2 linked regions of the Rattus norvegicus genome follow. The protein of the gene in region 2 purifies or fractionates together with the protein of the main gene of each other region. This does not show direct contact. Links are inferred from orthologs where the notes say so. Each region holds a gene or a part of one and is shown on either strand. Other genes may lie near its edges.

The links. The genes of interacting proteins can lie anywhere in the genome.
Region 1: the proteins of Traf7 (region 2) and Map3k3 purify together in Homo sapiens (affinity purification with mass spectrometry; 5 studies listed by BioGRID and IntAct, with this or other methods). This does not show direct contact. The link is inferred for Rattus norvegicus from reciprocal best matches to the Homo sapiens genes TRAF7 and MAP3K3.

The regions. Positions count from the first base shown.
Region 1 is NC_086028.1:91,517,872-91,523,094, reverse strand, and holds the start of Map3k3 (mitogen-activated protein kinase kinase kinase 3), read right to left. Parts: upstream 3,120-5,223; 5' UTR 2,831-3,119; coding exon 2,827-2,830; intron 2,762-2,826; exon of another isoform or gene 1,452-2,761; intron 909-1,451; exon of another isoform or gene 854-908; intron 1-853. UniProt on the Homo sapiens protein: Component of a protein kinase signal transduction cascade. Mediates activation of the NF-kappa-B, AP1 and DDIT3 transcriptional regulators.
Region 2 is NC_086028.1:14,042,745-14,047,294, reverse strand, and holds part of Traf7 (E3 ubiquitin-protein ligase TRAF7), read left to right. Parts: intron 1-1,405; coding exon 1,406-1,500; intron 1,501-3,267; coding exon of another isoform or gene 3,268-3,304; coding exon 3,305-3,421; intron 3,422-3,877; coding exon 3,878-3,970; intron 3,971-4,134; coding exon 4,135-4,168; intron 4,169-4,550. UniProt on the Homo sapiens protein: E3 ubiquitin and SUMO-protein ligase that plays a role in different biological processes such as innate immunity, inflammation or apoptosis. Potentiates MAP3K3-mediated activation of JUN/AP1 and DDIT3 transcriptional regulators.

The DNA.
Region 1 (5,223 bases), about 77 Mb from region 2:
ATAAGTCCCAGGAATTATTAACAGCATTATAATAATTATTGGAAGAAATTCTACTATGTCCAAGAAAAAAATTTCAATAGTCACACAGTTTGGAAGCCAAAAAACTAAACAAAGATTTCCCACTCTTTACAAGGGTAAGTTACAGTTTCCACTAGACTTTTGCTGAGGCTAACAGACAATATAAAATCTGACCTGTTTTTACTAACAAGTCAAGTTGTCAAACAGGCTTGAGTCTAGAGCATAGAACTGCTCAGAAAAATATGACTATGAACCAAAGAACCTGCAGAGCAGAGATACAAATTAGTTTTAGTCCTTTAGTCACTGAGCTGGAGTTTAAATGCAATGAAAATATAAAAAATCAGATTCTTTTTTACTAAATGTTTGTTTATTAGGTTCTGGGGAAGCAGAAATTACTATAAATTTAAGGACTGCCTGGTCTACATAGCAAGTTCCAGGGTAGCTAGGACTACACAGGGAGACTCTATCTCAGAACAATAATAACAACAATAACAAAAGGAAAGAAAGAGCTAGAGAGATGGCTCAGCAGTTAAGAGTACATACAGGGTGCTCTTCCAGAAGACCTGGGTTCAATTCCCAGCACATACATGGCAGCTCAAAACTGTCTGTAGTTCACATCCTCACACAGACATACATGCAGGAAAAACACCTTTAAATATGAAAGACAGAGGGAGTTGGGGATTTAGCTCAGTGGTAAAGTGCCTGCCTAGAAAGCGCAAGGCCCTGGGTTCGGTCCCCAGCTCCGAAAAAATAAAAAAAAAAAAAAAAAAAAAGAACCAAAAAGAAAGACAGAGAGAGAAAAGAAAAGGTATTCAAGAGAATGCCAGGGATGTACCTCAATGGCAAAGTGCTTGCCTAGCATTCATAAGGCTTAGGTTTGATGTCCAGCACTGGAAACAAAAATACATTTAAAAAGTGACATGGGGTCAAATAAGAAGATACCATGTTCCCTGTTTTTCCTCCCACTTTGGAACTTTACCAACATAGTTTCTTTCCTCCCAACATGGCCTTTCCACATATTCATACATTGGCTGAAAACCTCTTCAAATTTGAAAACAGGCTCTCATCTCTTTTCATATTAGATAATGAGATGTTGCCTTCATCACTGGATACTCACACACTGGTTTTACAATCAAAGTGTTACATGTGAATTCTGTACATTCTGAAGGATCTCATACTCCCCTTTGGAACTTAAGGCTCACACACCGGGGAAGAAGGAAAGCTTACTAAACTTTTATAACATAGGTCCATAATTCAAAGATTTAACTTAAATTCTGTAGCAGTAGATAAATGTGGGAAAACTGGGGGAGGATAAAAAGAATTCTGTTCCCCATTAATATATAAAGAAATATGTGCCCCATATAATAAGCATTCCATAAACATTTATTGTATTATAAATATAAATAAATAAATATTGAAATGTGAGTCCTTACTAGGTTCCGTTTGTGTGTCTCAGATGAGAGCTCTGTAGAAAAAAACTCTGAAATACAGCATGGAAAGGGAACAGAAAACCCACCAAATGAACAAATTCTCTCCATACTGTATGAGGGGCAGAGTGAAAAAGAACAAAGCAAGAATAAAGCAATTAATTTAAAGCCAGAGTAAGGAGCTCCAATCGAGTATCTGGCTAATGTGCGACTGCATCCACTAAACCCTTATAAAAATGACTTGAGCTTACTATAGGGCAAAACAAGCATTAACATTCCATCTTCATATGGCGCACTCAAACAAGCAATGAGTGCTTCTGCGAAGGAGAATTTTATCCCTTTCTGATTTAAGATAATACTAAATATTTTTGCAAAACTTGATTGAGACCAGGAACAAGAGCATCACAATACCTTCCCCAAGTGGAGAAGCAAAATATATTTAAAGTGTCACACATTCCTTAGCTAAGTCCAAGTCTTTTGGTAAAATACCAAAATTATGCGAAATATATATTTTATTCAGCTCAAATACTGTGTAGAAGACATTAAAAAACTTTTCTTAGATTATATCTTCACAGCAGAATTACAAATACTGACAAAAAGGAAATGATTTCATAGTGATTCTTTTATGTAGCGAATGCCTCCTTCAAAAGTTACATAGTTTCAGGGATAGCACTGGATAAGAGCCGGATTTTTTTCCAAAAGTAGGGTCTGAGTTATAACCCACAGCGTTTAACGATTCTTAACTTCAGTAATCTGTGAGGAGCGCAGCTCGCATTTCTCAAGCCTGCTATTGCTAACAGGGATCCGCGTCGAATAGCGTCGCAGTGGATCCCCCGCATACCCTCCCCCCTGCGCAGGGGAGCGCACCGAGCTCCAGAGCAAAGCCCCGGGAACTCACAGTGTGAGCAAAGGGAAGGAAATGACACAGGCAGGAAAAAAAAAAAAAAAAAAAAAAAGCAAATCAAGGAAAAGACACAACAGCAGCTGGGCCTGCACCAGGCTCCAGCCCCGGCCCCACACTGAGCTCCGGCTCCCCCACCCTCAAGCTCGCGCGCCAGCTCGCTGGGGACCGGAGTGGGCGGCCCGACCGAGCACGGGCCTCCGTCCCGCAGACCCCTCCCCGGGATGCGCCCGCCGCATGCCCGAAAAGAGAGCTGCCGAGTGGGTTTGGCCGGTAGGGCACCCCCGGAAGGTCCTGGTAGCCAGAATCACAGCCCTGGTCGCGGCGCCGCGAAGAGGCGAGCGGTTCGCGGTCCTCAGTCCCGGGCCCGGCGAACTGTCCATGCCTGTCAGGCAGCGGCCCAGGGTCCTCCTCCCCTCAGCCCAGGGCGGAGCGTCGCGAAGCAGCGCGGGCACAGGCCGGGGCGGTGGCGGTACTCACCCATGGTGGCGATGGCGGCGGCAGCGGTATCAGCCCAGAAGTGTCACCTCCGCAGCCGGGGCTGCATGCCGGGGGAGCAGGCGGCGGGGACGGCGGCAGGCCTGGCTCCGCGCGGGGGCCGTGGGCTGCGCTCGGGGCCCCCGCCGCCTCCCCAGGCTCCGGCTCCGGCCCGGGCCGGGCGCTGTGGCATGAGCAGGGTGGCCCGCTACATCCCCGGCGCTCCCAGGCTCGGCCCAACCCGGCCTCGGCGGCGCCACTCGGCTGGCCCGCCTGCCAGTCTTGAAGTCCAGAAGTAGCTCCGACCGGCCACTGTTCTCCACCTCAGGAACGCTCCGAAAAACAAACCGCTGGGCGCGCAGCAAGCCTTGCAATCTGTCACTCATGCCAGCATCTGCCAATCGCAGACAGCCGCTGGGCCTTGGCGCTACCCCCATGCCCATTGCCAGCCAATAACCAGGAGGAAGTCAGATACTCCCGCCCCTCCTCCCGTTCTCTCCCAACGCCCTCACTCTCATCCGCCAGCTAATCACGACGGACCAATCCCGCCTACTCTTACAGGATGCCAATGGGCGAAGTCAAGGCGATTTCCGAGGGCTGTCTAGAGCCTGCCAATCACCCAGACAGCGCCCGTCCTCTCGCGCCTAGCCAATCACAGAGAGAGCGCTGAGCACCCGCCGCGGAGCATCACTAGCTGGCGCTCTCGGCTTCTCTGGCCAATCTGCTCCAATCACAGCTCCGGCTTGAAGCCCCGCCCACAACCCTCTACTCAGTTGCGGAACCCTCGGCTGGCGCGCGGGCTGGCGCTGTTCCCCTCAGCGGCTACACTGGCTGGCTCCTTGAAAAAGCGTAGAGGCCCTCAGAATACGACAACCTTCGGCCCTATGGTTGTCGGCGACCTCGAGGTGCTGAGGTGTTCGGCCCCTGCTGGTGCGAAGTGTCTGGCCTGGAATGGGCGGAGAAGATTTGGCTCGGAGCTTCCAGGCCACTTGTGCCGCGCGATCCCCTAAGCAGCCCACGGCTCTACGTGCGGATTTTACTAGAAGGAGGACGGTCTCGATCTCGTTACTTCTCATTCCCCTGGGTCTCAGACCTCCGAGGGCACATCTAATTCCTCCGTCTCCAAAGGCTAGGGTAGTGCTGGAATGTGGGTCCCCACATTCGGGGTTCTGCTAAAGTTGTTCTTGGACAAATTTTGCTCAGAGTTATAAAATCGAGACACGTTTTTAAAAGAAAAGTTAAAAGTGCAGGAAAATCCCAACCCTAGAGATAGTTTTATCTATTTCTTACCTAGATATGCAACGTTTGACAAAAAAACAAAAAAAAAAAAACAAAAAAAACCACTTCGTATTGTTTTGTAGTGTGCTTACACATTTGTGTTTCCTGTGCCACGAAATATTGTCTCAAAACAATTGTACTGGCTGTGCGATCTTTCAAAAGGGCATTGTGATTAACTTCTTCAACCTCCATTGTTTCAACAATTTATACACCCAGTCTTTAGATTCCAACTCTACCAGAATTAGTGTGGGTTCTCTTTCTCTGGAACTGTTCCAGTGACATATTTCAGATTCCAGAAAAATCTTCGGATGCCATTTTCAGTTGTCATTTAGAAACACCTTAGGGGGTGACTTTGGGGTGTCAGATCTCTTAAAGAGTATCTTACACAATCCATTTTCTTCATCCTCTCTCTCAACCCCATACTATTTAATTATCTCTCTCTTGTCCTGTATTTTTTTCTTTTATTTGTGTGTGGGGGGGGGGCGGGTGGTGGTGTGGTGGTGGTGGTGGTGTTTATGGAGTTGTTTTTTTGTTGTTTGAGACAGAGTCTCTAACCTAGGCTGTCCTGGAACTTCTTTGTAATCTGGCTGGTCTGAAATTCACAGATCTGTCTGCCTCTGCCCCCTGAGTGCTGGGAATAAAAGACCTGTGTCACTGTACCAAACTCCTTTTTCTTCAAATTCTCAAGTCTCACATTCTCACTTGATTGCATCCCTAATTTACTGAAATAGAATAATCCTTTTGTCTGGTGAGGGAAAATGGAGAAGAACACCAGCCATTTACTAGATGCCAGGCATGTAATCTCACTTAACCTCTCCAGTGAATGGCTAAGCAAGCTGCTTCCTTCTACCTTTCCTTCAGATGCCTTCTTTGTGAATTCCATTTCCACTGATTGTCCCTCCGCCACTAGTCAAGCATTTCCATGCTGCCGTTGCCCTGTGTGCTGAGGATCCCAGCTCAGGCAGATCTTTGTTCTAAGCTTCAGAGGCACCACTCCTGAGCACTCCACGGGGCACCTCAAATTCTACGGGTCCAACCTGAACCCATCACCTCCCTCCACTGTTCACGTTTCCTCTGTTCATTGTCGTCAGTTCCCCGAGGAAGACACCAAGCTATCGGTGA
Region 2 (4,550 bases):
TACTTAACAGTTTGTACATCTTTAGAGACTGCACAGTGCTTATCAGCACTGTTGAGGGTTCCAGAGCCAAATAGCATATCAGCTAGTCAACAGTGAACCAGTACTCGCCTCATCCGGCCCAGTCACAGGATAGGCAGTTCCTAATCTTGAATGGAAGCCTTAAGAGTCTGATTGCTATGACATCTGGCTCAGTTTTAACCTGTGCTGGTTGTAGCCTATCCTTGGCGCTGCAAGCCTTATAGGGCCTATGAGATGGTTCTCTGGTTCCCACATGGAGCCTTGACCTTTCATTCTTGGGGAACCTCAGCTTTCAGGACCAGGCTGGACAAGGTATTCTATAGGCAAGAGGGAGGGAGACCAAAAGTCTAGCTCCAATTCCTGATTTTGGTTGGGTTAGGGAGGAATAGGGAGGACATAGACTAGACGTGTATTTGCTGAGGTCCTTCAGTTGCTCTGTTTCCTCTTTGTCAACCTGGCAGTTACTTTAAAGATCGAAGGGAAGCCCCCAAGTGACCCACCCTAGAAAGATGCCAGGCTACTCATATACTATTTGGGGTTGATTCTGTGCCCAGCAAGGCATGGGGGCCCCTTGTTGGGCTGAAGAATGGAACCTTGTCGGGGGTATGAGAGAAAGATCTTAGTTGGGCTTGGTGGTGCTTGCCTGTAATCCTAGCGGTTGGGAGGTAAAGGCAGGAAAGTAATGCTTCTGAGGTAACCCTGAGCAGTCTAAGGAGACCCTGTCTTCCTGCATTAATCTCAGCTCTTGGGAGGCAGCAACAGGTCTATCTCTATGAGTCCCAGGTCTCAAAAAGCCAGATTCAACAAAAACTGAATCTGGAGAGATATCTCAGTGGTTAAAAGCACTGGCTTTTCTTCCAGAGGACCCAGATTCAATTCTCAACACCCTCATGGTGTTTCAGAGCAATCTTTAACTCCAATTCTAGGAGATCCGATGTTGTTTGCTGGCTTCCATGGGTACCAGTCACATAAGTGGTGCATAGACATACATGTAGGCAGAACACTCATCCATGTACAATTTAAAAAGAAAGAAAGAAGGAAAGGGCAGCAAAGGTTGGGGATCTAGTGCTGGTGTGAGCATGAGCCAAGTCCCAGGTTCTCTACACTAGAGGCAGGAAATGCATTTACGTCTCCTGTTGGTAAGTAGGGCAGGCAGGGCAGCTAGCAGTCCATTCTCAGTTGTCTGCAGTCTGATGAGCCAGGGCCACACTGCTGGTACTGGTTTACCTTGGAAGACTATCCTGGATAACCATGTCCCAGTCTAGGACAGGGAGGCTGAGAGCTAGAGACAATCCGAAGGGTTCCGTAGCCCTGCCAGATGTCTCCATCCCTTCAGCCCCTTCCTCCACTGACAGCTGTGTCACTCAGCCCTTCCCCTCTCTTTCAGCAGCTGATGGGACCAGCACATACAAACAGCATCGCAGGACGCCTTCCTCCTCTAGCACCCTTGCCTATTCGCCACGGGATGAGGAGGACGGCATGGTAGGTCTCCACGATGCAGGAGCCCAGTGTGATCCCCAACCCTCCTGTCAGGCCCTCCTCACTGAGGCCCAGGTCCTAAGAGGAGCTGGCAGGAGAGCAGAGTCAGGATGGTGAGGCACCTTGAGGTCTGAGCACTTGTTGCATTCCTGAAACTAAGAGGAGGCTCCTGTAGCCGGATGGTGGCAGGAAGCAGCCAGTTTGTGGAACTGTGCTTTAGGGCATGTCCCCTGAAGGCCAATTTCAGGCAGTTTGGGCTCCATCTTAAGGGAGGTGGGAGCCATAAAAGGTATAGTTAGGTGAATCTGCCCATGGGACAGAGGATGACTGCCAGGACCGAAGTCTTTGTTGGACGGCAGAGGAACCAAACTTCTTTTCCCTTTTCTTTTTGCTTTTATATTTGGTGGGGTTCATTGTCATTGTTTTGTTTTGTTTGAGACAGGGTCTCTATGTGCTCCTCATTATCCTGGAGCTCACTATATGGACCAGGCTGTCCTTGAGCTCACAGAGATCTGTCTGTCTCTGACTCTGGAGTGTTGGGATTAAAGGAATGTGCCACCATGCCCAACCCCTTTTTTCCCTTTTCATTAGGAAGATAAACATCCAGTAGGCATATTACGGGGCAGGCACTGCCCTTAGCCCCAGGATGGGTTAGATACCTGGTACCCATACCCCACAGCTTCACCTCTCTCAGTCTCCACCCAACTCCTGACTGCAGCCTGGGCCTTGGAAGTGGATTCATTGTGCTTCTGGTTTTGGATAACTCTGGGGCATCTGACAGGTTATAGTAACTTTAGTGTGATGTCCTAGAATCTTGTGTTTGCTGTAGGACATTGAGCAGCCATGCCCACCCCACCGCATTGACTGGCCTTAGTTGCTGTGCTTGGCACGGGGAGTGGGAGTGGGGGAGCCTAAGAGTTGCACTAGCCAGTAGGCAGAGGGGAGACTACAGCTCTGTACTAGCTCCTGCCTAGGAGCTGTGTCCTCTGCCTGCCATTGCTGTCTGTGGGGGTATGACCCACTTCCTTTAACTTTAGCCTCTGGGTCTCACAGGGCACTCCCATGCACGATGTAACTTGGGACATCGGAGTAAGGAGAGATGGGAACTGCCCTGGTGGGTGAATATGTGCCCAGCCTCTGCCTCTGTTTAGGGACGCCCAGAACTGGGATGGGCTGCATCCCTATCTCATGGCCCCCTTCCCTATTCTGGACATAGGCTCGGGAGAGGTAGGTGAGCCTAGGCATTGGGTCCTGCATGGAGGAGCTATGGCAGCAGTAGCTCTTGGATACCATGCCTCTCTTCCCCTACGACCTCATCAAAGGTTGCTCCTTCCCTTCAGGTCTGAGGAGGCGAGGTCAGCCTCTGGTGAAATGTCCCAGTGAGCCTTCCCGGCTGGGTCTAGTGTCTCCTGGACAAGGCAGCTCAGCCCATGGGCTCCTCTCCTTGACCAGACTTCTACTCTTTTCTGTTGGGTAATCTGGTGTCTTAGCTGCCCCAGGATTGGCTGGTAGATGCAGCCTCTCTGCGGCCCACATTCCCTCACGGGAAGCAGGAAGAAGCCTGAGCATGTCCTGTAAAATTGAATAGCAGGAAATCTCTCCATTTACACAAAGAAAGTTGGCAGGCAAGAACGGGCAGCCCAGCACCAAAGGCCAGGGCTGGCCGCCACAGGCCACGGGATTGAGGCCATCCCAGCCTCCCACACACAATCCACAGCCTTGTGGGTTTGCTGGAAGTGGGGTGGCTTAGGGGCGCCCCTGCCTCCACAGGGCTCAACCCCCTGACAGGCTGCCTCCATCTGTGCAGCCCCCCATCAACACTCCTCGCCGCTCTGACTCAGCCATCTCTGTCCGCTCCCTGCACTCCGAGTCCAGCATGTCCCTGCGCTCCACGTTCTCGCTGCCTGAGGAGGAAGAGGAGCCGGTAGGTGTGGTGGGCTTGGCAGGAATCATCTTCCAGGGTTGTCAGTGCTGCAGTGGCACAGGGCACTGTCCCTCAGACCGCACCAACATAGCTCATGCTGTGGGTAGGTCAGACCCGATTAGGGCCTCTAGTCTATGTAAAGGCTGCCTGGGGATGAGTTGTGGGAAGGTGGGGCTCAGACGGGGTCCTTTGCTAGTCTGTAAGGCAGGAAGAGAGGCCAGTAAGGCTGAGACCATGTGTGCAGATGCTGTGTGTCAGTTTCTCACTGCTCACAGCCTGCCTCTGAACCACACCCCTTGCTTTAGCTCCTTGGTCCTCTCATGGGTCTCAGTGCCAGTGAACAGCCCTGGACGGGTGAACGTGCAGGCGGCTTGGGTAATTAATGTCACTGAGGGTCTATGCCTGAAGCCCCCACTTGTGGCCCACGTGCTGACCATTTTGCTCCGCTCTGTCTAGGAGCCATTGGTGTTTGCGGAGCAGCCCTCGGTGAAGCTGTGCTGCCAGCTCTGCTGCAGTGTGTTCAAGGACCCTGTGATCACTACGTGTGGGGTAAGCACACACACCTCTCCCACCCGACTCTGCCTGCTGACCCTGACCGAGGACCTTAGCCCTGTTCATCCTAAGCTGGCTGTCCAGCCGGAGCTCTCTGCAGTGGTGTGGGATGATGTGAGACTCTGACTGGAGTCCCCCAAGTCCACTTTTTGTCCCCACAGCACACCTTCTGCAGACGATGCGCCTTGAAGTCAGGTAGGTCTGTGCCTCCCATTCAGACTGGTGAAGTTGGTAGGTAATTCCCACCCTGCCCTTTCCCAGGCTGCCAGCAGAGGCCACTGGTTTCCTATCTAGGCATGTGTGGCCTCTCCCAGGGCTTGCATAGTGTTGCCAGGGTTCGGGCCTGGCGAAGGACCTCGATAGTAAAGCAGACCCCAATTCCTGGTGTCTCCAGACTCAGCCTTGGCTGTGGTGGGCGTGGGCTGGGTCCCAGGGTGAGGGCTTGGGCTGACAGGTGCTGTTGTCCCTGGCAGTCCCTGCTGCTGCTCCACACCCACTGGCTGCCCTTCTGCCCTCTGTCATCACCTGCTCGTCCTCTGGGAGGCCTGCTGTGCAGCTCTTCCTGCACCGGCACCTT